Linked DNA regions of Drosophila melanogaster. The protein of the gene in region 1 interacts with the protein of each later gene in a pairwise test. Each region holds a gene or a part of one and is shown in the gene's direction. Other genes may lie near its edges.

What was found.
Region 2: the proteins of Rpt6R (region 1) and Ibf2 interact in a two-hybrid assay, tested with the Drosophila melanogaster proteins (one large-scale study listed by BioGRID).
Region 3: the proteins of Rpt6R (region 1) and bigmax interact in a two-hybrid assay, tested with the Drosophila melanogaster proteins (one large-scale study listed by BioGRID).
Region 4: the proteins of Rpt6R (region 1) and CG5026 interact in a two-hybrid assay, tested with the Drosophila melanogaster proteins (one large-scale study listed by BioGRID).

What each region holds. Positions count from the first base shown.
Region 1 is NT_033777.3:30,579,361-30,586,534, reverse strand, and holds Rpt6R (regulatory particle triple-A ATPase 6-related), read left to right. Parts: upstream 1-2,837; 5' UTR 2,838-3,011; coding exon 3,012-3,159; intron 3,160-3,214; coding exon 3,215-4,266; 3' UTR 4,267-4,337; downstream 4,338-7,174. Other genes in the region: CG9717 (uncharacterized protein), read left to right, coding at 1-598, 944-1,246, 1,315-1,460, 1,652-1,987; CG9702 (uncharacterized protein), read right to left, coding at 4,473-5,047, 5,106-6,195, 6,509-6,874.
Region 2 is NT_033777.3:9,255,458-9,261,896, reverse strand, and holds Ibf2 (insulator binding factor 2), read left to right. Parts: upstream 1-3,395; 5' UTR 3,396-3,456; coding exon 3,457-3,641; intron 3,642-3,708; coding exon 3,709-4,111; 3' UTR 4,112-4,170; downstream 4,171-6,439. Other genes in the region: ATP6AP2 (ATPase H+ transporting accessory protein 2), read right to left, coding at 1-291, 554-906, 1,130-1,172; Ibf1 (insulator binding factor 1), read right to left, coding at 1,647-1,886, 1,941-2,129, 2,194-2,265, 2,556-2,643, 2,710-2,849; CG16736 (uncharacterized protein), read left to right, coding at 4,219-4,610, 4,731-5,172; CG16734 (uncharacterized protein), read right to left, coding at 5,185-5,310, 5,370-5,825, 5,882-6,037, 6,094-6,234, 6,299-6,439.
Region 3 is NT_033777.3:27,284,696-27,291,504, reverse strand, and holds bigmax (bigmax), read left to right. Parts: upstream 1-2,978; 5' UTR 2,979-3,035; coding exon 3,036-3,177; intron 3,178-3,319; coding exon 3,320-3,720; intron 3,721-3,785; coding exon 3,786-4,007; 3' UTR 4,008-4,139; downstream 4,140-6,809. Other genes in the region: Hmu (hemomucin), read right to left, coding at 372-1,488, 1,825-2,125, 2,185-2,390, 2,460-2,575; CG3368 (uncharacterized protein), read right to left, coding at 4,190-5,419, 5,478-6,809.
Region 4 is NT_037436.4:8,964,190-8,973,494, forward strand, and holds CG5026 (uncharacterized protein), read left to right. Parts: upstream 1-4,338; 5' UTR 4,339-4,725; coding exon 4,726-4,884; intron 4,885-4,987; coding exon 4,988-5,238; intron 5,239-5,308; coding exon 5,309-5,696; intron 5,697-5,758; coding exon 5,759-6,234; intron 6,235-6,293; coding exon 6,294-6,706; intron 6,707-6,759; coding exon 6,760-6,857; intron 6,858-6,913; coding exon 6,914-6,991; 3' UTR 6,992-7,563; downstream 7,564-9,305. Other genes in the region: ValRS-m (Valyl-tRNA synthetase, mitochondrial), read right to left, coding at 1-275, 344-437; CG5653 (uncharacterized protein), read right to left, coding at 743-2,173; CG5021 (uncharacterized protein), read left to right, coding at 2,780-2,803, 2,939-3,021, 3,093-3,327, 3,377-3,706; pix (pixie), read right to left, coding at 8,144-8,438, 8,496-9,212, 9,272-9,305.

The sequences.
Region 1 (7,174 bases):
TTCCGGCTGGGATTTCTCATCGATTTCGTTTCTGGTCCCGTGGGAGCGGGATTCACGAGTGCCGTGTCCTTGATCATCTTCAGCTCCCAGATGAAGGACTTCTTGGGCATCAAAACAAGTGGCAACACCTTCCTGCAAGTGTGGATTAGCATTGTGAACGATATACACAACATCAGCTGGCCGGACTTCATCTTGGGAATCGTCTGCATTACTCTGCTCCTGAGCCTGAGAGCCCTGGCCAGTTGTACCCTGGGTCCCAAGGAGGGAAAAACCACAGCGCAAAAGCTTCTGACCGGCATTTTCTGGACCATCGGAACTGCCCGCAATGCCCTGCTGGTCTGTGGAACTGCTGGCCTGGGTTACTGGTTGTTTGTCAACGGCAAGGAGAATCTCGTGAAGACAGTTGGCTTTGTGCCCAAGGGATTGCCCTCCTTTCAGCCACCACCCTTCCACATGGATGCCGTTGTCAACGAAACCACAGGAGAAGTCCTTCAGGAGGCCCAGAGCTTCTGGGACATGGTCAGCACCCTGGGATCTGGGCTCATTGTGGTTCCATTGATTGCTCTTCTGGAAACTATGGCCGTTGTTCAGGCTTTCGGTGAGTTGTCCGCTTATTTGATATCGTCATTTTCATGAGTTGGATCTCGTTCTTCCCCAACGAGTTCAAGAATCTTCAAAATTCAAGTAGGATATGAATCATCAGTAATTGGTTTATATTTAAAGCTAATTTTAAATCGGATTGACGAAAGCAACGAGTTTTTGTTTATAACCCTTATACCCTTATAACCCTTGTTGTCCCAAATTAGTGTCAACTTTTGAATGACACGTGCAAATATTAAAATAGGTCAGTCGCTTTATTCCTTGGGGAAGAACATATTGTTTTGCTTTCGAATTTCATTTGACTGGATTGTAATATTTTCCCCGTTTGGTTTTTTCCTTTTAGCTGATGGCAAACCCACAGATGCCACGCAGGAGCTGATAGCCTCTGGAGTGTGCAACGTGGCCAACTCCTTTGTCCAGGGTCTTCGGAGCAATGGCGGCATCGCCAGGGGAGCCATCTTAAATGCCAGTGGAGTGAGGACCCAGCTGTCCAATCTCTACACCAGCGTGATAGTGATTATTGCCCTGTTGTACCTCACGCCCTGCTTTTACTACATTCCTAAGGCGGCTCTGGCCTCCATTATTATTGCGGCGGTTATTTTCATGGTCCAGTACCGAGTGATCAAGCCCATGTGGCACAGTAAAAGTGAGTTGAAAATAAATAAACCACACTCACATGTTTGTTACCATACGTGTGTATTTCTCCTGCCACAGAAACCGATCTCATTCCCGGCCTGGGTGCCTTTTTCGCCTGTCTGGTTCTGCCCCTGCAACTGGGCATCCTCGTGGGCATCGGCATCAATGTGGTCTTCATCCTCTACCAGGCAGCCCGGCCAAAGTTGCGCATCGAAACGCTGGCGGTGAGTCATTCCATCCGAAGTATCTCAATCTATACCTAGAATAGCTTCAGTGGCTGAAAGTATGCTACAGATTCTTAAGATTCGGATGGCATTTTTATCTCATGTTCATCTTACTGTAGGAATTAATATACTGCTAGTTGATATGCCATAGATGATTCCTATGATATTAATAAGCCGACCTATCTTTATAGACAACTACTGGTCTGAAATACCTAATGCTAACTCCCGATCGCTGTCTGATCTTCCCCTCGATGGAGTTTGTGCGCAAGGTGATCAACAAGCAGGGTCAGAAGTCCACACTGCCGGTGGTCATCGATTGCACCCACATCTATGGAGCGGACTTCACGGCCGCCAAGGTGATATCCACCATGGTGATGGACTTTAAGCTGCGGGAGCAGCCGCTGTTCTTCTACAACCTGCAGCCGCGAGTGGCGCAGGTCTTCGAGGGTCTGAACAAGGATCTGGTGGTCATATACGATATTAACACCCTGCACGCCAAGCTGGCGGAGAAGTCGCCCCCGATCTGAGGGATCCAAAGAAGTCCGAAGGGGGAACAACGCTGCAACCTCGTTATGCGATAGTCTTAGCCCAAGTCTAGTTCGTAGCTTAGTCTCTGTCCTAGACCTAGTACTAGCTTAGTCTTGCCACCGAGGCCAGCGACTAAATCTAGATGTGGGCTGCCCACGCTCATCGCCTTAGTTGAAGGTACCATTACCATTCCACGGCTAGCCCAGCTCACCTTAATTAGCATTTAAGATGTGGCAATCTTCGCAGATATCTGCACAATATTATTTATTTGGCCTCTAACGGCGAAACGCTGTGAATTCCAGAGTCAGGGCTCCTCCCACCCGCGATTTTGCCGCTGAACATAGTATTATTTTCGGGTAGCGAACGGCGAGTTTTAGCATAAGTACTTAAATAAATCAAGTAAATATAAAATAGTTAAGTGGCGTTAAGAGTTTTACTTGATTGGCCAAGAAAGTGGAAATAAAACACTCTCATTAGGTATTATACGTTGTTACCAACTACTGGCTTTATTAAAGATTTATTCCAAGATTGATAGACTTTATATCTAAACAACATCATGATTTCTGGGTGTCTTTAATCTCAAACTATGCTGTGATTTTATTTGGTGCTTCGTGTGGGAAGTAAATTTTTTGGTTCGAAGGCATCAATAACAAGAAAGCATTACTCGAGATAAGATTGAATGAATATGTTTGACACCTATAATAAAATAATATTTACGAAACGTGTGGCAATAATACGACTTATCTTAAAATTTTTAGTCTGTTCAAGAACCCTTAAGTTAAAGTGTGAAATGAAGTTTCCATCCCTAACTTGTCAAAATTTCCCAGCACTGCGTAAAAACTGTCGTCTCATCAGCCGGATTCAGTTCGTTCAAAAAAATAAGCAAAATTATATCAATAGCTCGGGAAGTTGTTGAGCGCTATACAAGGAAAGAAATAACAATTTGCAGTTCAACGTAATAAATTACTAGCTAGCCTTTTTTGAAGTGATTTTTTTTTCCAGAAGAAATATTAATTTTACCAGATGAGCAAAGACGTAGGAATCCCAGAGGGTTCCGAAGGCTTTCATTCATATTATACGCAGAAAATATCAGAGCTTCAGTTCACTGTGAACGAACGCCAAAAGAACTTGCTCCGTTTGCAGGCTCAGAGAAATGAACTCAACCTCAAGGGTAAGGTTCTTAGAATGAATATATCCTTTATAAGATTATCCTGCCTTATCCACAGTTCGCTTGCTGCGCGAGGAGCTGCAGTTGCTCCAGGAGCAGGGGAGCTATATTGCGGAGGTTGTGAAGCCCATGGACAAGAATAAGGTCCTTGTGAAGGTTCATCCCGAGGGCAAGTATGTAGTGGATGTGGACAAGACCATCAATATTAAGGATGTGACACCCAGCAGCAGGGTGGCCCTGCGAAACGAGAGCTACACGCTTCACAAAATTCTGCCCAATAAGGTGGACCCATTAGTATCCCTTATGTTGGTGGAAAAGGTGCCCGACTCCACCTACGAAATGGTGGGTGGCTTGGACAAGCAGATCCAGGAGATCAAGGAGGTGATTGAGCTGCCTGTAAAGCATCCGGAATTATTTGACGCCTTGGGCATTACCCAGCCAAAGGGAGTGCTCCTCTACGGACCGCCTGGAACTGGGAAAACCCTGTTAGCCCGAGCTGTAGCCCATCACACGGAGTGCACTTTTATACGGGTTTCAGGGTCGGAACTGGTTCAGAAATTCATCGGCGAGGGTTCGAGAATGGTAAGGGAGCTTTTTGTGATGGCTAGGGAACACGCTCCATCCATAATATTCATGGACGAGATCGACTCGATTGGTTCCGCTCGACTGGAAACCGGAACGGGGGATTCGGAGGTCCAGCGAACCATGCTGGAGCTTCTGAACCAACTGGACGGCTTCGAGGCTACTAAAAACATTAAGGTGATCATGGCCACCAATCGCATCGATGTCTTGGATCAGGCATTACTGCGTCCTGGTCGAATTGACCGCAAGATCGAGTTTCCGCCACCAAACGAAGAGGCCAGATTGGATATCCTGAAGATACATTCTCGCAAGATGAACCTCACCAGAGGCATCAATCTTCGCAAGATTGCTGAAGAAATGCCGGGGGCTTCTGGTGCTGAAGTCAAGGGTGTTTGCACCGAGGCGGGAATGTATGCTCTGAGGGAAAGACGGGTCCATGTCACCCAGGAGGACTTTGAAATGGCCGTCTCCAAGGTAATGATGAAGGACTCCGAGAAGAACATGTCCATCAGAAAGTTCTGGAAATAGCTTATATAACTAATTTTAAAACATTTGAAAGCTCCATTATCAGACTGAATATAATAGTTGATATAAATAATACAAGTTTTGTAGTATATTCTTGATAGAAAAGGACAGGAGTGTAAAAACAAAGACTTTACTCAAGTGAAACTACTAGATTAATGTTCGTAATGGTATAGATATAACTTAGCTAATTTTATTTGGGCGTTGTAAGACTAACTTCTAGCTAGTGAAAGAGTGCTGGCCATGCTCACGCATTCACTAGTTCCGTTTCCGGACTCGGCGTGGTCGAGTGAGTCCACGGACCTCGAAAGATCCGGCTCGTCGGGCCGGAGTTCCTGGTTGAGGGCATGGGTGTTGTAGCAAAGCACCAGCCTCGTGTTCAATCCCTCGAAGACACTCACTACACTGGGCTTCAAGTTGAAGAATATGATCTTTTGCTGACGCCGGCGGAAGTCGTCCACAATGGAGGATATTACTTTGGCGGCTGTGAAATCCGCAGCATAGATATAGGTGCAATCGATGACCACTGGCAATGTGGATTTGCTGCCCAACTTCAGTACCATATTTCGAACAAACTCCACCGAAGGAAAGATCAGACATCTGTCGGGGGTGATCTTCACGAATCTGATACCTTGTTGGGTTTCCAGTTGCTCCAGCGTGACCTTTGGCCTGGCTGCATAGTACAGGATAAAGAGAAGATTCACACCAATGGCCACCATAATTCCAATTTCCAGGGGCAGTACCAAACAGGTGACGAAGGCCAGGATGCCAGGCACTAGATCGGAACCTGCAACGTTGAAGGTAACTTAGGAATATAAATACTAATCAAGGAAGTCTCAACTCACGTTTGCTGCGCCACATGGGCGTTACGACCTGGTACTGAACCTGGAAGATCACTGCCGATATAATAATCGCTGCCAGCACCGCCTTGGGAATGAAGGCGATGTATTCGGTGAGAAAGTTCAGGGCGAGCACTACGATAACACCGATGTACAGGTTGGACATATTGGTGCGACAGCCACTGGCATTATTCACCGCCGATCGGGCCAATCCTCCATTGCATCGATATCCTGAGAACAAGGAGGTAGCAATGTTGCCGACTCCACAGGCAATCATTTCCTGGGTGATATCTATCTGTTTACCCTTGGCGAAGGCCTTGCAAACCGACATGGTTTCCAGTAGGGCCATTAGGGGAACGATAACTAGTCCATATCCCAAGCTCTGCACCATTTCAGGAAAAGTCTGTCCCTCAACAGCAGGGATCCCAGCTGTTTCGTTGCCGGGCTGCGGTTCGATGGAAAACGGAGGAAGTGAGGGCGTGGGCATTCCCTTGGGAATATTTCCAGTTAGTCTGAAAGGATTCGTTCCATTGGCATCCAGGTACATGGTAACAGCGGTAAACAGAATAACCACTGAGGCATTCCTCGAGGTGGACAGAAACTTGATCACCGTGTTCACTACTCGCTGGAACCCGTTCCTTCTCGATTCGTCCTTTGGACCGATGGTGAACTTTCCGAGACTCCTCATGGCCAGAAGCAGGATAACACATCCAAAGCCCAAACAGGTGTCGGCTACGCGCACGTTTTCGATATCCCGGAACATGCTTATCCACGTTGCCAAAAAGGATCCACCATCACTTTTGACACCCAGCATCGAACGCATCTGGGACGTCGACACAATCAAGGCAACGGCACTCGTAAATCCTGCGCTCACCGGTCCAGAAACGAACTCCACCAAACATCCAAGCTTGAAGATGGCCATCAGAATCTCTATAATGCCGGTCAGAAAGGTCAGCAGTACGGATCTCTGCCAGGATCCTTGGGCGAACTGGAAGGTCATGAGTGAAGCCACCGCTGTGCTACCAATCGTGCTGTCCTTGCAGGTTCCCAAAAGGACATATACGAAGCAGCCCATGAAGGATCCATACAGGCCATACTGTTGGAGAGAAGCAGAGTTACTCTTTGATAGGTCAAAGGATCTACAGGATCAGAGGAATCTGAAGTGCAATTTTAACCGCTGAAACTTGCTTCTACTGAGACGCCCTAACAATCAATGATCAAGCCGTCAGCTGCACCTTAACTCGGTTCTTTTCCGTTGGCGTGAAGTTGCTAACAAGCTCGGAAAACATAATGATAACTTGATTAACCAATCAAAAGGGGAACGAGTAAGAAAATGTAAAAATAAAATTTTAAAAAAAGGTAGGCAACTTATGGACCTAATACCACTTATTGAGTGCATGGTTACTAACCTCCGGTGGTAGGCCGACCACCCCAGAATAGGCCAATCCCTGGGGGATAACGGTTAGTCCCACAGTGAAGCCGGCTATCAAATCACCGATGCAGTCTTGCCGGTTATAGTGAGGCAGCCAGGTGAGAAAGGGCAAACGCTTCAGGAGAGTCTTCTTCCGGAAGATATTCCGGGCATATCGGGAGCAGCAGGACTCGGGGTTTTTCGACTCCTTGGAGGCCTCCAACTGCTCCAGGCTCTTACTCTTCGAAGTGCGATGGTCGGTAATTAGAATGAAGTCCGTGGAGGAGCTGTCGAACTGCGCCTCCAGATTCTGATTAACCTCCGCCTGTTTGCGGAAGGTCACCTCGTTCTCCAGCGTGGACATTCTGGGCGAGATCTGTGCGTGCACTGATGGGTTGGACGACACGCCGCCGGAACCTGATGATCCAAGGGGCTGCGTCACGCGCTCTTATCTCCGGAGGCTGTTTGCCCAGATCTCGACGCGTGTCGTGTGTGGAAGCGGGATACAGGTTGTATCTTTCAGTTGGATCCACAGCGGTTCCATAAAGACGACAAATCGGTCTTGACAATGATCAAAGCCCCCTGCATCCGCCCCTTCTCAGTGTTTATCTTGGAATTGTCGGTCAGCCAACTGGCACAAGTGTCCCCTATTGATAATCGAAAT
Region 2 (6,439 bases), about 21 Mb from region 1:
CTTCTGGGAGGCAGCAAGCAGGCGGCTGATAGCGGCCGACAGCAATTTGTTGGCCTCCTCCACGGCCACGGACTTCTCGCCATGAGCCTTGGCCACTCCATCGACGGAAACGCGCAGCATCAGGACATTCGAGGGCTTGGCCATCTCAGCCAGATGATCGGCGGCACTGTTGATGAATCCAACCTCCTGGAGGAACTGCTTGTCAGCGGTGTGCAGAGAGGGGTTCAGGTGCTTGGTGGGCTTGGCGGCTGGGGCCTCGAAATCACCAAAGCAGGACTTCCAGGCTTGAACCTATAAAAAATATGTGGTTAAATATACATTGGTCTCTACGTTATATGCGTAAGGGGGAAGGCACTATGATTCACTCTATAAATCATGTGATTAATTAATTTTTAAGGTTTAATAACTATCTATCATATTTGTGGGAAGTTATAGCGGATTGTAGAGAAGCTTCTTTAAACGAACTTTCAGATGAAGATCATGCTTTCTGCGGTTTGACAAATTAGCTAACTGACTAACGAAATGTGCTTTTCCCCTTTAAGACACCACTTACGCCATCGTCGAACTGCTCAAAGTTAATATCGCAGACGGGCTCGTTGGCTGCCTCCAGTTCGGCGGCCAGGGCGTTCAGAGAGGCGTCCGTTCCGGAGCCTGTCAGCTCGTAGGTCTTGACGTTGCCGGCGGTGGTCACGTGACCAATGCCCTGGACATGCACCAGAATGACGCCCTTGGCCAGGTTGAAGGGATCGTTGATGGTCAGTCCGTTCCAGTTGGTATCGCCGCTGACGGCGTTGCCCATGGAAGCGTAGAGTACATCACCCACGTAGTGGCTTTCCAGTGCATCGTTGCCCTTGAAACTGATTGCCTTGGGACGGTTCAGCACGGTGAATTCGCCAGAGGCATTGACTGCAAAATAGGAAGACGTAGCTCATAAGTTCTGTAGAATCTAACATATTCGTCTCCTTTGTCCAAGATTCTGCGCATGCATGTGGGGAGCCCTTTGGAGTCCCGAGTTCTGGGTGTCACCACCCCCAAAGAGGAATCGATGAGTACAGAATATCCACTTTGTGACCGCTTTCCACTTGCTGCGCATGCATTTTACTTGATTATAGATGGTAGATCTACTTACTGGCCGCTATAAACAGCGAGAAAATCACGAAAACTCTCAACATTTTCAGTTTTCCGCTGGACTTTTAATCATATGACGAACGACTGCAAAGAAAACCTTTTCTCTTCCCCGATATCACCCTGACTATCATGTGATGAACAGGGTTGCTTGGGGTCAGTTATCGAATGGGTATCAGTAGGGTTGTCGAAGAGTGCGAACTATCGATTGTACTAGTATTTCTAGTTTTATTTATTATGTATTTTTATTTATTCAATAATTTTGATGTATGTAATATTTATGTATGTAAGCATTAGATTACATCGATTTTAATAACACTTGTAAGCATTGCATTATTACATTATTATTTAATAAAAAGATTCGAGTAATCAGGCTTAAAATAATGTATTTTGTAATCACCTTTACAAAGTTAAATGTAATAAATCTATGTTGAATTCAAGACAGACATTTTCGTCATCTTAACAAAAATTAAGGGTTCACCATGCGGACATTTAAAAGTTATCTATAGTTAAAATACATTTTAATCGCGTAGGGCGTCGATTTCCAATCGAAGCTTCTGAATCTTAAGCAAAGTCAGTGTGCGCTCTACTTTTAGATTGTCCGTTTCCGTTTTAAGAAACTTGGTCTTACTCTGGAACTGACTGATCTCGGCTCGCGCCTTTTCCGCTCGCAATGCAGCTAAACCATTTCTTGGCCTGGCCTCGATGATCGTCGCCGATCCATTGGCTAAGTCATCCGGGTTTTGCTGCAATATGTAATGCTGTTCGATAATCGTTAAAATGTCTAAGATACTTATCAAATTGTGAATATTTACTTCTTTGCTTTCGTCCAGGTACTCAGAGTATTCGGGATTTTTAATTTCAACGTTGGAAATTTCAAATTCCAAATTTTGCTCGCCAGACTCTTCCGTTTTGGTCAGTTTCCTTTTGCGAATTTCTCGTTTCACTCTGGGTTGCTCCTTGGGCGCCTCAGCCTCGTCAGCATCGTCCAGAATTTGTTGTATCTGGAATGAAAAATAACCATAATGTAAGTATTTGATTTAGTTTACGCATTTTTCACCTACTCACCTTAACAATGATCTCCTTGCCTTCGTTGGCATTATCCAGGCCGCCATCATCGTCGCCCGAAATCTTCTGGATCTGCATAAAAAATATATTTTAGAGCATTAGCGATATATAAGTAACATTTAATTTACATATGAATGTTCATATGAGACGATATGGGTTAGTAATTTCAAAAGTCAAATCATTAAGCACTATATATTGTATTCGGACAAAGTTCGAACCGAATATTTGTCAAATTACTTGGGGTTGACATTATAGTGTGCAAAGTATCTTTGGGATTTATTTTGAAGTGCATTTGTCCACTGACGTCCTACACCAGACATATACATACATCCAATGTATCCAAATTGGAAGCATCGAATTACCTTTATCCTAGGAGCCTCGTCATGATCCTTCTCGTCGGCAGAAGTGTACACTACAGCGCTTCTACTTCGCCGGGCATCGCAGGTTTGCCTACAATTTAATGAGAATTACTTGACGCATGTAAACACAATGTTTGGTGTATGTTTGTATGGTTACCTGTGTAACGATAGCCGGGATAGCGCCGTATTTTGGAGTACTTTTTCGCAGAAGTGACAGGTGGCCGAGTATTTGCCATTCTCCAAATTGGCGGTAAATCCGTGGGTTCTGTAAAAATCCTCGGACTTCTTTCGGGGCATTTTAAAATACAACAATCGCAGTAAATTCCAATGTACTATACACGATGCAAATAAAAATGGCTTCACTACAGATGCATGTAAAATCCACGCTTGCATACGATAGACATGTATCGACATATCGATAAAACCATTTTGATATTGATCAGTTCGATGCGTTTCTTTTAGTCAAAACGATATTTAATAAAGATCAGAAATAATTTTATATGTATATAACGGGTGAAGTAGTAAACTTTTAAAAGGATTTGCTTCTTAATTTTACTTATATGTATTTGTAATATATGAACGCCCTTCAATATAGTCTATTTTTTAAAGGTTCCACGCATATATTTTCAGATACATTCATGGTACTATTTACTGCCCGATTAATTAATCGTTAAATATACAAAGCTAAATATTAAACTTATTCTTTTCAAAAATTTGTTATTTATGACCCAGACAAAGTCATTTTTTACAATTCAGTCATTTCACAGATGATTCAAAAGTAAAAATATAATTAATATTCAAATGCAAGCGACCATCGATAGAATTCGATGGCATGTTATCGATACATCGGTTGAATTTACAGCAGCAACACTGTCACGTAATTTAACACAAACCGTATGTAAAAATGTCGCAAGCAAAAAAGGCCAAGCGACCCTCGGGCCTTTCGAAGGATGAAACTTGGAAGAAACTGGGCTTTCTACCCGCGTTCAAGGGCGGCAAGGATGGGGAGCCGAAGAAGTACCGAGCGCTGTGCACCCACTGTCGGAAATGCCAATCAAACACCAGCATAGACAGGCTGATTATCCATAGGTATGTATTATAATTTTTCCCGCTCATTTGCAAGTACAGTCCGTAAAATGTATGTATGTGGATACAGGAAGTCATGTCTCAAGTTCCGGGAGGATCTAACCGCTGAATTCGGTATTAAGGTGGAGGCTACGGACGCCGCTCCGGCAGAACAGAGCTCTTCCGGCTCCACAATTGACTTCACTTCGAATATTCTACTGGACAAACTGATCGACGAGGATGATAGCAGTGCACGCAATCAGGAATCCAACTTGGTGAGCTACTTGACCGATCTGGATCAACTGGTGATCCCGTCATCCGACGCCAATCGACTGCAGAAGGATCTGATCAAGGCGGAAACGGAGTATCTGGTGGTCAAATCCGAGTACTTTACCAAGATGAACGAGATATCCGAACTGAAACGCACCGTCACCTTGTTGGAGGCGAAAAAGACACAGCTGGAGATCGCCAAACTGCGTGCTGAATGCGAGTAGCCTAAGCTTTTTAAGTACACTACATTTTAAATTTCTTGAGAATATACAAATTTATTTAGATAATGAATAATAGTGATGCGGGGAGTTCGATTGAACAATTTATAAAGATGCCCGTCTACGTCGGCCTGCTGATTAAGACTACGGCCCAACTGTTGTCGCATCCCATGGAGCTAGTTCGTGTGAATATGCAGGCGAACGTAATCCACCATAGCCGTTTAAGCATAAACCATATGTTCCGGCTGATGGCCCGTCATGGATTACCCGGATTTTATTACGGCATTGTGGCTGCTTGTCTACGCTGTACTGTTCACACGATGTCAACGTACACGTTGTTCTACAACTTACAGGATAACAAGTACGTCCTAATGCTGCAGCCGTATAACACTAGCATGGTCCTGGGTATAACCGGATTTTGGGGCGGCGTATTGGCAACACCGTTCGCCAAGCTGGCGGTCATTCGGCAAGCTGATCTTACGCGCGGATCCTACGAGAGGCGCAAGTAAGAATATGGCCGAATAAACATAAATAGGCATTTTCCGGTTTAATTTTGAAACCAGCAAATATCTATATGTGTATCGTTTAATCTTCCAAAGCTATGAAAGTTAACCCTTTTTTGTAGCTATCGAAATTTCTGGAGAGGACTCAAATGTATGTACGCGAAGGGAGGATTTACTTACCTATTTACCGGTTGGAAAATAAACTCGATTAGTAGCACAGCCGTGGCCGTGCTGTATACTCCTATTAGTGATAAGGTCCATACAGTGATATCATGGTTCCACAGACTCGACGAGCCGTGGCTTAGCGATCTCATAACTATGGCGCTAACAGGCAGTATTATCACAGTCATTATGACACCAGTGGATGCGTTGGCTACTCTAACGTTAAACGAATCCTCACACTATGGCCGCACTTCCTATCCATATCTGTATCGGAAAATTATCCGAAAACATGGCTACAAGGGCTTCTTTTTTGGATGGAAACCGGCACTAATGGCCCTTATCCCACATACTGTTTTGGCAACGTTTGTATATCGCTTCTTACTAGATCGCTATATAACATAAAGACCCCCATATTTATTCACAAATCTTGTGGTGCACAATTGACAGAGCCTCCTTGAATTCTGATAGTTGGGCGGGCATTGTTTCGGTTATCCCGTTTTCCAGTTGGAAGCTAAAGACTTCGATGAACCGCGAAACGAGCTGGGAAAAAATTGATCTGTTAGATGTAACCAGAAATATATATAGACATAATAACATACTTTTAGAACTGGAGGTGCCTTCTCGTGGGCCACCAAACATTCCATTAACACAGCCACAAACTTCCCGTAAAACTCCGGCAGGTGCGGATGCAAAGCTTGCAGAGGAATAGGCATGATGCAAACCAGATAGCATCTTAGCAGTTGATCCAGTAAAGCAGTGCATACCTCGACACCTTGGAGCAGCTTGCTCGACTCCAGGACAAGCATTTGTAGGATGGCCTTGGCCCAACGATAGCTGGTGCTAACATTTAGAGCAAGGCATACGTCCCGACACGCTACCAATTTATCTGGTTCGCATATATCCATGGCCAAAGCAGTTTTCACATCGCTGCGATTGATGGTGAAGTAGTATCCTAATCGGATGATATACTGCAGCAGGCAGATTAAAACTTTTGGGCTGGAGGCCATTGTCACGTTCTGAATGAGGCGTTCCAGCATGTCGTCGCATTGGTTCCACTAAAGTTGCCATCATATTTATGTTCAGTAACTAGAGTAAGTTTCAAGGTACACACCGTGAAAGCATCTAGATCTACAAAGTGATCAAGACAGAAATACAGGCAGTTCCAAACAGATTCGATGGCTTCAATTGAGTCCATGTTGTAGACATCCTTGAGGGCATGGTCATAGATCACACTGTGCACGTTCAGTTCCTGAATGTCCTTGGAGTCCTGAAGGATGAAGTGTTTCATTGAAGGTCTTGGCGCTAAAGTGGTCTAACACGTACGCTAAATTTTAACATCACTGAGAAGATCTTGACCCCAAGTTGCTTGTAGATAGTATCATAGCATTCGCGCACATTAAGACCCACGGATAGTGCAAAAGCCAACATTTGGGTGGACATTGCGGATTTCTTTCCGTAACGAAGCTGCGGGATAAAGTAAGTGAACAAACTGGACTATCTGGATAAATATTTGTCTGTTAGTGTATACCTCTAGATATCTGCCGAAACCATGCACAGCTCCTAGTTGTCTCTTCCAGCAATCCCTGTGCAGTTTCTTCTCGTAGTATTTCAGGAATTGATCATCCGTCGACTCCCACCAATGGGAAGACAGCTTACTAGCCAAATCATT
Region 3 (6,809 bases), 3.3 Mb from region 1:
CATTGTTTACTATTAACTTAGCTACATGGAATGCACTTCCGGTTGTAAAAAGGAATGGAATGTTTATAGTGCCTAAGCAAAACAGAATTATATGTTAGTCTACAACATATAAAGCGTTGCCCGTCGAGGATCATATGAGCAAGGCCCTCGGCTAGTCTGAATTTAGCTACCTTTCGACTAAAATTAACTGGTTTCGACAGCCTGAGTTGGGGCATGATAAATAAGAAACCTTTGAAAATTCCCCAAAAGTGGTTGAGATGTTGGAGGGAAAAAGATAATAATCCTAATAGGTTTTGACTGCGTGAAGAAACTAATCTCGCGTCCGGGAATATGCCCGATTAACTCAGGAGGAAGCTGATGCGTCTGCGATCTTAAAGCTCCACATTGACGCCTTGCTTGTTGATGACCTTGAGCTTCTCCTTCTTGGGTGGCTGTGTGTCCGAGGGGATATCCTCCTCAACGGGCGCGGGTTTCTCAGGCACTGTGCGCTTGACCTTCGGTTTAGAAGGCTCTGGAGTAGGAGTAGTAGGAGTAGTAGTAGTAGTTGGCTTAGGAGTAGTGGTGGTTGTTGTAGTCGTAGATGGCTTAGCTGTCGGCGGCTTAGTAGTTGTTGGCTTCGGCGTGGTTGTCGTAGTGGTGGTAGTGGTCGTTGGCTTCTTGGTTGTCGTTGTGGTAGTGGGCTTTGGCGTGGTTGTAGTAGTTGTCGTCTTGGTAGTGGGTTTCGGCGTGGTAGTTGTCGTTGTGGTAGTGGGTTTCGGAGTGGTGGTGCTAGGAGCCGCCTTGGGTTTAGGAGTGGCTTTGCTGGGTGGCACACCAATGGACGCCTCCAAGCCCTCGCCCTCGACGCGAACATTGCGCACCTTCAGCGTGGGCTGCTTGGCCTTTGGCGACTTGACACGCGCCAGGTACTGATTGGTGGGGGAGCCCAAGAACAAGAAGTCCTGGAACTCCAGGACGTGTGATACCGTGGCGGCCGACTTGTCGAAGCCATGCAGCGAGCCCACAATGTTGCCGTTCCAGTCCACACGCACGACAGTCGTTCGCTTGGGCGCCAGCACAGTGATGCTCTCCATGTGTCCCACGAAGTGAACGAATCGCTGCGAGAACTTGTTCGGATATACGCTGTTCAAGTAGCGGAAGGGCAGCTCGAACAAAGCCAGCATGCGGGCCAGGAACAGGCGCACGCTGGGGAAGCGAGTGAACAGGGTGAAGCCGTTGGGATGCTCGCTATCCGCGCTCTGGACCAATGGCACCCAGATGCCCTCGGCGTCGGGTGTCAGGTTATCGGGCAAACCGGGCAGTCCGTCGACGAACACCTCGCTCTGACCGGCCTTCGCTCCCTTCAGGTGATACTTTGTCAGACGCATCGCTCCGGTTTCGGCTACCACGATGAAGTCCTCGTTGGGACTGAGGGCCAATCCATTGGCGAAAGCCAGTTCGTCCAGCAGCACCTCGCTAACATTCTTCGAGCGATTGTATTTGAAGAGACTGGAACGTAGAAGAAAGCAAAGGCCGTTAGAGTAACCATAAGACCAGATCGAGAAACCGGTTTGCGTTCGTCTTACAGTCATACTTCTGTAACTTGTCCCTTAATTATAAGAATTAAGCTAACTTCAGTAAGCGTGGACTCTTAATTGAGATTAATTAAGTGACTCCCTCGATTCCTCCGCTACAAACATTTGAAATAATCTTAAATGGGTCACAAAACACGTTTTATAAAGAAATACATTGTAATGGGGTCCCACTGTAGCCCTATTCCGAATAGCTATCACTTTGAATTCTAGCAATATTAGACAGTGTCGCTATAATTTGCGATGAACTCACCGGCCGGAGGGGTTAGCAAAGCTGGCAAAGACGAGGTCTTCGATGGTGAAGTCCGACGAGGAGTCCGTCCAGTAGACGTCGCCCTCTTTGCTCACGGTCACGCCGTTGAAAATCTTGGCAGGGCGGTTGATGGACTTGCCGGCAAGCTCCTGGGCGGGCGAGACCAGCAGAGTCTTCTTATTGGTGCCCAGGTCCACCTGCCACAGGCCGTAGTAGGCGTCGGCGATGATGAGGTTGTTGCCCTGCGTATCAAAGGCCAGTCCCAGCGGACGGCCGCACCGGGACTCCTCGTAGATGTCCTCTGCAAGGGGATTACTATTATAAAATGAAATTCCCTTTATAGGACTCGAAAATACGCACCGCAGGGCTGGCCGATCTTGGTGACATGCGTGACATGGTTGGACGTTAGCTTGATGACCTCACCGCCGTGGATGCCGGTGTAGATCTCGTTGTTGCGGGCTATCAGGCACTCCGGGCCGTAGACCCGCCCCTCCAGCAGTCGCTCCGCTCCCTCCAGGTGAAAGTTCGATTCCAGCGCACCCTTCAGGTCTTTGGGCGGGGTCACACTGTACGAAGTGGCGATTTCTCCAAGGATTAACACGGGAATTACGTCAATTGAAACGGGCGGCACTTACATATAGTCCTTGAAGGGGAAGGTGGTGCGCGGCGGCAGACCGGGCATTAGGATGATGAGGAGGAAGAAAATCATGAAGTTCATGATCCTCACGCGCAGCGCATATAGCAGGCCCATGATTGATTCCTTGTGCGTCCGCCGATCACAAATTACAGCCCAAAAACCCGCTAAATTTAAGCAATAACCCCGAAGAAAGCGACACGACGGCAAAGTTCAACAAGAAAAAAACGTAAAAGTCATCATCCGGACCGGTAGAGGTGGCCGAAATATCGATATGACTATCATTCGTTGATTGAACGTACCACATCTTACACTCTGCTACAAAAATTAATTGTATGCAGTTTCTAAAAACTATGTTATTAGGGATGCAAATTATAACAAGCATAGTTGGTTGAATAACATCATAATTAAAGTACCTGTTAGCCTGGTACCTGATAACTGTTTTAAAAATTCCTTAAAACTATCGCACAATGTTGAATGTGACCATCAGATACCGAAGGCTTTTCGCGCTACCTTGCGACAGTCACACCGCTGCTAGTGTTTTTGTTTTGGGAATTCCAAAACGTCGCAGTTGACGATGAGCGATAATAACAACGCGTTGGCCACCAAGGAAGACGTTTTCGGCATGGAGCACGACCAGGACCACACCAGCAAGCACTACTCGCGGTGCAGCAGTGCGGGCAGCACGCACACTCCGAACTCCTCGGCGCACAATTCAGGTGGGCGAACGCTGGTCAAGATCGGTCACGCTGATCGGTCAAGAGTGCGGGGCGGGGGCAGCTGATAAAGCAGTGGCATTGAATTACTCGCTATCAGCAGCATTTTATTACATTGTACTCATGTTTCGGTTCTGTATCGCAGACGACGACGACGATAGCGGCGATGCGCGCCATTCCGCGGCCGCCAATTCCACGCTGAGTTACAAGGAGCGGAGAAGGGAGGCGCACACCCAGGCGGAGCAGAAGCGGCGCGATGCCATTAAGAAGGGCTACGACAGTCTGCAGGAGCTGGTGCCGCGCTGCCAGCCCAACGACTCCTCCGGCTACAAGCTCAGCAAGGCTCTGATCCTGCAGAAGTCCATCGAATACATTGGCTACCTTAACCAGCAGAAACTCAAGCAGGAGGACGAGGGATCGGCGCTACAAAAGGAGGTAACAGCGTTACGGATCATTAAGAACGGCTATGAGAACATGCTACAGCATCAGCAGGCGAATCCAGGGCCGGAGGAGGCACGACTCACCGATGAGGCCAAGTTTCAAGTGGTAAGTATGGAGCGCTTACCTCTATTATAACCTCTAGAATCGCCACCCACCACCCTCCTCCGTAGTTCCAGGCCATTATGGAGGAAATGTTCGAGACATTTCAACACATACCCATGGAGAACTTTAAGCAGCTGACCACCGGCATTATCCCCTGGCTGGAGGAGCACTGCAAGCCGCACATCCTGCGCAACATACTCAGTCGTACCTTGCAGCAAATGGCGCAGGAGGCTATGGAAAAACAGGAACTTCAGGCCATGGAGCAGGAGTCGAGCGAGGGTTTCAGCTGATCGCGCGGTTAGTTCATATTCTCATTGGTTATTTTAGAAATCCCTGTTTGGTAGATACTTTCGTTACGTTTACTGCGTACAAACATTAAATGCGTCATTTGAATAGTTGTAAAAGCGTTGACAAGGAAAGATAACTTTTTGGCTTAATGATTAAAGATTAGATAAAACTAGATTTGCTAATGCTAGCCGAGAGACTCGACGAGAGCCGCTTTATCCGCACTACCCAGCTGGCCTAGCAGTTCCAGCAGCACATTCCGTGTGTACGGCTTGAAGCGACGAACTCGCTCAGTGACATCCAGCGCGGTGAGCAGCGCTTCAAGGAATCCCTCCAGACGTCCCGCGCTCCACACATGACGTGCTTCGTGCTTTAGTTTCAGCACGCCCGATGTCAGCGTGTAAATCAGTCCCTCGTAGAAGTTCTCCTCCTCCAGATTCGCGGCCAACTTGGCGCTGGCCAGCAGCGCCGCCGGCAGATCGCAGCGGAATTCGTGCGACCGCACAAAGCAGGTGGCCGCCAGTTGGCGGACCTGATCACATTTGTGCCGCAACAAATGCCAACTGAGTCGGCGGAAGCGAATGAGCAGGGGATTTGGCTCTTTCCCGCCCGACGTACGCAAGTGCTCGACCTTGGACAAGAAGGCCAGAAAGAGTATGATGGATGACGTGACCTCCTGGCGATCACAGCACCTCAGCATGTGCTCGCAAGCCTTGGGCAGCAAGCAGCCCAATTCGTCGTAGTCCAGCTCACTGGGTTCCCAGGCGGGTCGTGTGTCAAACTCTGTAGCTTGGCGCTGGCCGACCAGCTTGCCCAGATTGGCGCCAAAGAGTTGAAGTGCCGCATTCGAAATGGTCCATTCGGGGTTGGTGATGTGCTCCATGGCCACCAGCAGAATCTCATTGTAGTACTTGCTCATAGCTGGCCTCAGTTCTGTGTCGCGCACAAGAACGCAAAGGTAATGCAGTACCAATGCCTCCCAGCGATCGTGATTGCTATCGAGACAAACAGTCTCCGCGGTTTGGTTTTCATTTAGCCTCTTAAGAATCTGCTGCACAGCGCGATGGAGCAGCAGCCGCTGTCGTGGATTATCGTTCTTCAGCACGTGAAGGAACATTATGGCGAAGCCGGCACCACGTCGTGTGGTGCTCACTTGACGGCTTTCAGTCAGCAGCTCTCGCTCTAGGCAGTCGTGAAGCATTTGGAATCCCGAATCGCAGCTGTCTAAGCTACTGGTGATGGCACGGGTAAGTCTGCCAATGCTCAAGCCGGCCGCCTCTATGGCTCCTTTGTGCCGGCAAAGCGTCAAAACGGAAACATTAATATTGAGGCAACGACGCAGAGTCTCGGTGTTAACTGTTTTGGCAGACGTTTGCAATTGGTAACACCCAATGCTGGTGGCCAGATCGCAACAGCCCTGCAGAAGGATAAACAAATGATAAGTTTATCAAGAGTTAAGAAATATATCTACGCACCTTCAACGTTAACCAGAAGCTCATCAGTAAGTACTTTCGACAAGCCTCTTCCTCCCCATCACACTTGAAGGAGCTTTCGCTGACCAGCAGCTGGAGACTCTCGTCCATGTCCTGGAAACTGGCTGCTGTGGCTGCCTCTTCCTGTCGCCGGGCGTTGGCCACATTGAGGAACTTGAGAATGCCGCTGAGAATTCTCTCTAGCAATGGCAACAAATCCTCCAGAGGCGTCTCCACTGCCAAGCCAGCCTTGACCACCTCGTCCAAGGCGCAAAGATAGCCAAAGAGATGTCCTCCGCTCTTGGCGGTCTGCAAAGGATCTTCGAAGAAGGGATCTAATTTACCGGTAAGCCTTTTCAGGCACTCATCAAATATCTTTGATCCAGCTTGCTCTTTTGTAACCGCCAACTGTGCGTAGAGGGAAACCAAGGAGCATTGGTCCATATCAGACGTGTGGCACAGTTCGAAGCACCGCTCCACGCACTTTTCACTGTCCACATGGCCCATCTGAATCAACAGGGAGACCGTTAGGTCCAAAGCATCATCGAAACCTTGTGGATTGTTGAGGGTTTCGAAGAGCTGTTGCGCCATTTCCTTTGGACGAAAGACTCCGTGCTCCAGGAGAAATATGCCCATGCGCTGATTCTGCTGAGGACTGCACATTTTTGCATTTTTTGCGACTTCTTCTGCATATAGCGACCTATTTAGGATTTCCAGCAACTTCAGGGCAAAGATCTTGGGTTGATAAACCTCGCTGTGGATGTCCCGCTCAATCAGATGCTGAAGATGTGAAAAGAATCGCTTGATATTCTGAGCCAATGCATGGCCACCCACTCCGATGTCCGCCTTTAGAACCTTTTGAAAGTGCTTGGCCGTGTGATTGATAATCGTTGGCATCTTGCCCAGCATCGTGTTCCGGAACTCTGAGCTTTCCAGACAGCGATGTCGCTCTACAAAGCTGTGAAAGAAATCCAGACAGTCTTCGACGGCAAAGTTTCCCAGATTGTCAACCAGAAAGCGAAAGATCAACAGCTGCGCCTCCGTCTCCATCTGGCTGCAGTTGGTCAACAGCTCGGTGCTGATCTTAAAGAAGTGCAGCTTGGAGGTAGCATATATCTCCCTGGCGAACATGCTGAAGATCAGAATCAGACGTAATTGATCGCTCGGCGACCTTTCCTCCTCGGTGGCCAGGAACTCCACAATCTGAGGATTTGCTTGCAGCAGCTCAAACAACTCTTCCCGCTGTTGGATGCGCAGGAACCACTGCGAATGAAAGTTCTGAATCTCGGCCACACTGCCGTTAAGCAACAGCTCCACACTGGCTGCAAGTAGTGC
Region 4 (9,305 bases), on another chromosome or scaffold:
ACCCGCGTGATCTGTGCCTGGTACCCAGTCCACCTGGTAGCCAAGCTGTTCGCGCTGGCGGGCAATCACATCCTGCACGGTGGCCATCAGTGCATGGCCCAAATGTAGATTCCCGGTTACATTTGGTGGCGGTAGAAGCATGCGATAGGTCCCCCGCTTGCAACTGCTGGCTGAAGCCTTGGGCAAATTTGCCTGGCGATGCTCCCGCTCCCAGTAAGCATTTTCCACTGGTTGTGGCTGGTATCCTGCTGCCAAGGGAAGCTCATTAGCCGCATCTAAAAGTGGAAAAAAGTGAGTTCTTTAGCCGGCACTGGGGTTTTGAATGAAACTGGAGGTAACGCACCTTTAAGGGTACTGTAGTATAGAGAGTACACCCTTGGCTGGCACAGGTACTTGTGTCTGAGCAGTTTACTGCTACAATTCCCAATTATTTGCATTTTTAATGTTGTGTTATGTTATGTCAAAAAAAATTGTAATCTTATTGGTGATGGTATAAAAACAGCTGAGGAGATAATCGATATACGGCTTATGGGCGCCAATTTCAAACGAGAAACGGTAGAGCTTTCCTCCTCAATTTTTTTTCAAACTTCATTATTTATTTGATTTGTCAAAAGAGAAACATAAAACATCTCAGAGGGTACGTATGTGAATATCAGGATCCAATGTAATTTTTTTTAATTTATAAAAGAGAACAATTTTATTAAGAAACCATAAAGAAAAGTACGATAAAAAAATATATTTTTCAGGCACTGACACTGCATGAGGTGTAATGATCAATGAGCCGGTCTGCCTCCCGATAGCCCGCCTCCACAGCTCCGTGAACGGTGGAAAAGTGATTCCTGCTAGACGCTTCTCCGGCAAAAAGGAGGCCTAAATGACCATCTTCGCCCAACACAGGAGACTCTAGATCCCAGGGGCCCGTATTCCTTTCATCGGCCATAACTCCACGATAACTCCAACTGCCACGGAAATTCGGATTCGAAAACCACGAGCTGCGAACGAAACGCTTTGGCGGCGGAATTTCGAAAGTGAGGAACTTTCGGAAAAGCCAGTACAAGCCCTCAAGGACTTTCTCATCGGACAGGGTCTCCATGTGGCGTCCATGCGGACCATTCACCCAGGCCATCAACATTCGGGGCTGACAAGTGATCATGTGTACACCGGTTATACCCTCCACCCAGAAATATTCCGTCTTTCGCAGCTCTATCAGATCCTCTTCCAGCCAAAAGCAGAAGAAACCCACCCAGCCGTCAGGAAGAGGTTGCTTCTCATACTCCAAATACAGTTTGTTCACAGTGCCCAGGGTGAGGCTGCGAATGGCATTCACCTTGGCTGCGGGCAGCGGCGGGACGAACAGTTTCTCGTGCTGCTCCTGCAGGACTCCCAGGGAAACGGTGCAGATGACGTGGTCCGCCTCGAAGTAATCCCCATCCTGGCAGCGCAGGATTACCTTACGGGGGCACGCCAACTCAATCTTGATGACCTTCATATCAAGTTGAATACGTCCTTCCAGTAGACCCAGCTCTTCTGGCGTATCCGCGCTGACCTTCATCAGCAGCCGCAGGAAGCGCCGGTAACCCTTCGTTCCCCAGTGGAGCAGCTTGTCGCCATCACATTCGTGGTACTCGATGTGTTCCCTAACGGAGACCTCGAAAAGATTGTCCGCACCAATAATAGAGCTTTCATGCTTCGCAAATGTATTCAAGGCCTCACTAGCCACATCCCTATTCACTTGGGGTAGCTCGGACTCGATCTTGCGCCAGAAGGTCTGAGTCAGGTGGGTGCCAAAGGATCCCACAACCGGGTGAGGTCCACTCGGCATGCTCTTCACAGCAATGTCGTGAATCCTGCAGGCCAACTCATGTGGAACCACCTCCTTGTTGGATCTCACCCTCTTTATGGGACTGTAATAGTCGCCTGTCTCGTGCAGGATACCCATATCCTTGACCATGTCGTATACACAATTTTGCTGCTTTCCATGACACCACTGGGCTCCCAAATCGATGACGTTGTCACCAAAATACACGGTGTTGATCCGCCCGCCAATGCGATCCTCCGCCTCCAGGATCTGAACATTCTGGAAATTGTTTTGCAGGAGTCGAGTGGCGGCGGCTATGCCCGAAACTCCTGCTCCGATTATGATTATCCTAGAGGAGGCACGGCATTTTTCCATTTTGAAACGTTGGTAGTTAAGTTCGACAGAAAGAGCAGACGATCAACGAGCTACTGATGAAGTTTGTGGGCTAACTTGGCAAGTGATGGATGCTGCATTTCAATGGCTTCCACTGCGGTTGGAGTACAACTTTTTGCACACTCTGCTGGTTTTCAGCCACAACCATGTAACATTGAGAATCCGGGTCACAGAACATAAAAGTCGTCTTAGATAATATTGCTTCGGCTTTTATTACTTAATATGATGCGTAAAAAATTATGTTTCATAAATAACTTAAAAGTGGCATTTTTTTCTCATTTGGCGCTGCTATTGCAAATAACAATTCCACAAACAAAATGAAGGGGAGCTCAATAAAAAATGTTTGCAAAATTTTCAAATACGATAGGTTTAAGCTCGATTACTTATGGTGCTGCCAACCCAATCGAAGTCGAAGAAGTGCTTCACCCCTGCGAGCTATCGACTCAGTGCGAAAACGATAGAAGGCTACGCAGGCAGAAACAACAACAACGTCCCAGGCGAAGAAAATATATTAAATCCCCTGAAAAACCACGAAAATCCATGAAAATTGCACCCAACTAGGAATTAGAAGTCACTCCCTACACCAGCATGGCATCCGCTACGGTAAGAAATGTATGTATGCCGCACTAACACCTAACAAGCTGCTTGATTGGGGTGCCATTCTGACAATACGATCCGAGGTTTTCCACGAAAACTCATATTTTACAACGAGGCAAGCCAAACTAATCCCACATACGTGTTACACAGGTGCCGCTGCTCGACGATGACACGATACCCTTTGGCGAGGAGGACGAGATGCGGGATCCCAGTCGCGCGGGTCAGAAATACACGTATGCAGAACCATAATGTTTGTTGATCAATTCCATTTACCCCAACCCAACCCAACGCGTGTACTCCACAGGCACCCGTACGTCACCTTCTTCCACCTGTTCTTCAGGGGCGCCGCCATCCTGATCTATATGTTCTGCGGTTGGTTCAGCGACTCCTTCATCACCAGCTTCGTTTTCGTGGTGCTCTTCCTGTCCGCCGACTTCTGGACGGTGAAGAACATCTCGGGCAGATTGCTGGTCGGTCTCCGCTGGTGGAACTACGTCGACGACGATGGCGTATCGCACTGGGTGTTTGAGTCAAAGAACGTGAGTCACGAGCATAGCTAACTAGATTGCCCTTGATAATGAAACGCAGTCTGAATCCTACCAGAGTCGGGTCAACAAGAACGAGCAGCGCATCTTCTGGCTGGGACTCATCCTCTGTCCCGTCTTCTGGGGCCTCTTCTTCCTGTTCGCCCTATTCGGCCTGAAGTTCAAATGGCTACTGCTGGTAATGATCGCCATTGCGCTGAATGCCGCCAATCTGTATGGCTACGTCAAGTGTAACTATGGTGCCAATAAGGATCTGAATTCCGCCGCCACAGACTTTGTGAAAACGCAGTTCTTCAAGAATGCCGTGGACATCATGACAAGGCCCAGTGGCGCCCCACCGCCAACAAATGTACGCCCGACGGGAGTCGTTTGAGCTGGTGGAGACGCCATCTACTAAGTCACCTTGCCACCGTCTGCTGCAGCGCATTCCAAAGAGTATTCGACGCTTCTTCTGGCGCGGACCACGACCTTCGATTGGCATCGCTGTCTGTGTACCATATGTAAAACTTAATTTAGCCATACTGCAATCTACCATAATCATTTCTTACTTTTACTCGGATTAAAGGACCGCATGTGCGTGTGACATGCAACCAGTATGCCACATGGTTTTATTTCGAATGGTTTAACTACAAATTTAAGAATAGTTATTAAAAGGGATTCAGATATAGCGAAATGTGTTTTATTTTTATTCTCTGCATCTTAATCTGAGTACGAAAGACGTGAAGCAAATAATTTTCATTACTGTTAGATTACTATAAATTATTTAGTTTATTTTCTTTTTTGTCATTTTAGTTTCATATATGAAACTGTCGTAAACATATATTTAAAAATGAAGCGTAAATATAATCATTCCTGCAAAACTAAACTAAATGAAATTGCAAAACAATTTAAAAATATTTTTACATATTAAAAAACCTGATAATTTTTTAGTTCTTTGTTAGTGGCAATAACGGTTCATAGGCAAAACGCAGTGTGGTAGTGGACGCCACAACAAAGCTTTCCGGCTCAGTGAGCGACGGGCACACTGGCACAAAGCACAAAACAGAACAGTCGGTCGGAAACGGAATCGAAAAGAAAGAAAGAAATGCAATCTGTGCCGTAAGCGGGGGCGTGGAACAAAAGTTTTTGCAGCCCGGAACGAGTTTCATTGTTAGCTGCAGAGCAGCAGTGCCGTAAGTCCGCCAAATCCCCGCCAGAACCGGTGACGTACGCACTGCTGTGGGTTCAAAAAAGGGGACTCGAAAGGCGGGATAACCGTGGCGAAGAAGGGCGGAGGTGGAAGGCGGCGTCGACAGAAGCAATCAAGTGGCAACAGGAGATAGCCGGGGCAAAATGCAAAAAGTTAATTAGTGGGGGCCAAATCAAATCGGACACCCCGCCGAGGGCGACACCATGGAATTCGCCGACCTTATAAAGACCCCCAAGCTGGACGGTGTCCTGCTGCACGACCCATCGAATGCGGGGGCGTCGGGTGCAACAGTTGGCACACTGTGCATCACAGGGCACCATTTGCTGCTCAGCGCCCGCCAGGAAACCAGCCAGGAGCTATGGGTAAGTGGGTTGAGGCCTGCCCACCTAATCCGATGTGCTTCGGCATCAGTGGAGCGCTCATAATTGAATTAGAAATTCATCATGCTCATCCCCCTCTTTTCAGTTGCTCCACAAGAACATCGACTGTGTGGAGAAGAAGCCTAGTTTGTCGCAGAATATCGTGGTCGGTGGGATTATCACCCTGAAGTGCAAGGACCTGCGCATCATTTCGTTGGAGATAAAGTGCGGCAAGGAGTTCTTCAACGTGGCCGCATCGCTGGAGGCACTCAGTGCCATCCAGAACACCGAACTGCTCTATCCATTCTTCTACCGGCCCATGTACTCGATCCTAGAGGACGGCTACACGATGTTTAGGTGGGTACACGGCTTCTCCATAACTAACAAATTGGCTACAATTCAATTAACCTCCCCATCCAAACGACAGGCCCGAGCTGGAGTTCGCCAAACTCATAAGCGGGGTTGGCATGGGCGGTGCGTCCTCGCCGAATGTGGCCAACATAACAATTTGCATGCCATCAACTTCGACATCGACGTTGACTGTGGGCGCCGGCATTCCCCATCCTCTGCAAAATGGCTATGCGATAGAAGCCCTTGCGTGTGGTGTTGGTGGTGTGGGAGGTGGTGCGCTTCAAAGTCCCCAGGCCTCCTGCGAGTGGCGCATCACCAACGTCAACAGAGACTTCAGCGTCTGTGCCACATATGGCGCCACGCTAATTGTACCTAAAGCAATTACGGACGAGCAGATAGTGCTCTCCGCTGCGTTCCGCGATGGCGGCCGCTTCCCCGTGCTCAGCTACAGGCATGAAAATGGCGTAAGTCATTGCATCTACATCATCAAATTTTATTAAATTAATTCAATGATTCATATTTGCAGGCCACACTAATGCGCAGCTCCCAGCCGCTGTCCATTCAGGGCATCAAGCGCTGTAGAGCTGACGAGGCTATCCTTAATCTGGTGCTGGGTCGCAGTCGGAAGGGGTTCATCGTGGACACTTGGGGTAAGGGCAAATCGAATACGGAAACTGACCTGCACTACTCGCAGTGGAAGAAGGTAAATCGTTCAATTGGAAACGTCAGTTCGCCCGCCTCTATTTTGGACAGCTTTGCTCGGCTTATCGAAGCTTGCAACGATTTGGGATGCAGTACTGATAAATGGCTATCGCGACTGGAGAACAGCGGCTGGCTTAGTCTTGTGCTGAACTCACTGAACGCCTCCTGTGTGGTGGCCCAATGCCTGGACCAAGAGGGAAGTCCAGTGTTAGTGCACGGTGCTAAGGGGTTGGACTCCACGCTTATAGTCACCTCACTGGTGCAGATCATTCTCAATCCGGACTGCCGGACTGTAAGGGGGTAAGTAATCATATTCTCCTTACCTTGAAAAAGATATTTATGCCGTGTTCCCTTTGCAGCCTGCAGGCTTTGATAGAGCGCGAGTGGATCCAGGCGGGACATCCGTTCGCCTCGCGTCATCGCTACTCATGCTATACACCAAATCAGACACGCAATAAGACCTCTGGTGCCACCTTCGTCCTATTTCTGGATTGCATTTATCAGCTTTACACGCAGTTCCCCTGCAGCTTTGAATTCAGCACTCAACTGCTGATCCTTCTATTTGAGCACAGTCACTTTTCGCAGTATGGAACTTTCCTGTGCGATTCAGAGCGGGAGAGAAACGAACTGAATGTGCACACCAGGACGACGAGCCTGTGGTCTTATTTGAACCGGCCTGATGTCCTTCAGACATTCTTGAATCCGCTGTACGAGCCTAATGCCAATGTGATATGGCCATCGGTGGCGCCCATAAGCTTAGAGCTGTGGAGTGGTATGTTTAAGAACTTAATATATGAAACATTACTCATCAAACATGCATTTTAGATCTCTATTTGCGGTGGGTGATAGATCAACGCAGCTCAGTCACAGTCATGTCGCAAATTCAGGAACTTGTCACCCGCGAGAAGGAACTCAGGACTCAGGTAAGTCCACTTGAGTATTGATAGCGAAATGCTTACTGATGACATGTATCTTTCAGGCCCTCAAGTTGCGCAAACAAGCCATGGAGCTCGGCCAGGAAGTGTCCAACCTCATGAAAAGTGGAAACGATACATAGTCGGCTACCTCAAATGTTCTCTATCTTTTAATCTCCTGCATGATATACACTTATTTTTGATACGTTCTGTTGCAAGATTTCGACAATTATTTAAGCACATAGCAAAACTAATGTTAAGTCACTAAAAGTTCCATTTACAAGAAATTATGCTGAAGGAAAAAGAAAATAAACAAGGTAATTAAATTATTGGATAAACCATAGGATCTGCTTTTGGATCAACTGAAACACTCAATTTTAGACATACATGTGTCCATTTTTACTAACTATACTTCTATTGCATAAGTTCGGCAAAACAGTAAGAAAACTCTCCTTGTAAAACGCTCTCTACTCTCAGACTCAGATTGGGATTCGAAACAGCACAATGCAACTATCAAATATTTGGGTCAATTTTTGACGCATTTACTTTTATGGAATTTTTAGCGTATAAGTCTCCAAAATTACCTATTTATAGTACTTACTTGTGTCAGTTATTTAGTGGTCAACAAGCCACAGATCAAATTAAGTATTATAAACTCAAAAGATTTGCCTTTTTCGAAAAATTGTATGTAAATTTGATTAAATCGCATAAATTTAAAGCTTCAAAAGCGTTTACATTAAAAATATGCTGTGCATGCGTTGGTATATCTAAAAACAAATATTGTAAATTATATACTTATAAATGTTTGTAGCTGTTATTCATTGTGCGTCGATTTCGTATTGTGATCAAATTTGAAATGACAGAAATTTGTATGTAATTTACATTTGTATTGTGCGTATTTTGAGTAATTATCGCTTAAGTGCAATAAATACGTGTTAATTTGCAAACGTTAGCTCTTTTAAACTCGCAGGATTCTATGAGCACCACTTTAGAAAAAAGAACTTTCAAATGCAGTTTTGTATAAAGAAAATTGGTTTATTTTTGCTAGACTCATTTAAAACAACATTCTGTTGTTTCGGTTCACTATTTATTTCGCTGTAAAAACGTATATAAAACTCACTTTAATCAAGTACAATTAATCCCCAATTTTCGATTGTACGCAATCCTCGACAACAATAACAAATTAATTTGAAAGCAAATGTGTTCTTCAACGAAAGAATGCAAAATGAACGAAGGAAAGCTGAGGAGAACATAGAGAAACGAGCTGTCCCATCGAAGTTGCCCGTGATCCTGTCTTAGTTGCAGGCTTCGTCCTCCAAGAAGAAGAACTGGCCGGAGCGTTTCTGTTCTGTGTCCTTGACCGAATTGTTTTTGTTAATGCGGGGTCTGAAGTTGTTGGGATCGCGACGGAACGTAATACCAAGCAGTTCGAGGAAGCGGTTCATGCCATTTAGCAGCGACTGCGGCGAAAAGGCTGTCGTCTTCACTGAAGGCTGACCCTCGATCACGATGACACGGTCGGCGAGGTAGGTGGCCATGATGAAATCGTGCTCCACCACAAATCCAGTTTTCTTGGCGTGCAGAATGTAACTAAAACGAGATACCATCAATATTTGTGTGCAGATTTAAAGTCTATGTAAAACATACCGTTTGATAACCTTGGCGGCCACCAGACGCTGCTCTGAATCCAAGTAGGCAGAGGGTTCGTCGATGAGGTAGACATCCGCTGGCTTGCCAAGACACAGGACCAAGGCGACTCGCTGCAACTCACCACCGGAAAGGTTCTGCACCTCCTGGTCCATGATTTCCTCAATTTTCATGGGTTTCATAACATCGGCAATAAACTGAGGATGCACGTAGGCGTCACGAATCTTATCGTGCAATAAATGGCGAACATGATTTTGGAATTTCGGGGAAATCTTCTGGGGCTTGTAGGAAATATTCAGCATAGGCAGTTCCACCTCGCCATCGGGTTGGAGGTTACCGGCCAGCATGCGAATGAACGTCGTCTTTCCTGTACCGTTCTCGCCCAGGAGCACCAGGATCTCGGAGTCGCTGAAGTGACCCTTTTCCACCGTCAACTCGAACTTGCCCAGGGTCTTGACCATGGCGGGATATACGTAGTGGTTCATGCGCTTGATCTCCTCCTCCGTAGCGGACTCAGATACTTTGAAAGTAAGTGACTCAGTGCGGAATCGCATGTTTTCGGTGGGCACAAAGCCATCGAGGAAAATGTTGATGCCTTCGCGCACAGAGAAAGGCATAGTAACCACACCGTAGCAGCCGGGAACTCCGTAAAGGCAGCATATAAAGTCAGACAAGTAATCCAGCACAGACAAATCGTGCTCCACCACAATAATAAACCTGCATATTACAGAACCACGTCATAATTTTAAACAATGGCACATTATTCATCAACTTACTTGGTGGGATGCAGGAGTGATCGAATGGTCAAGG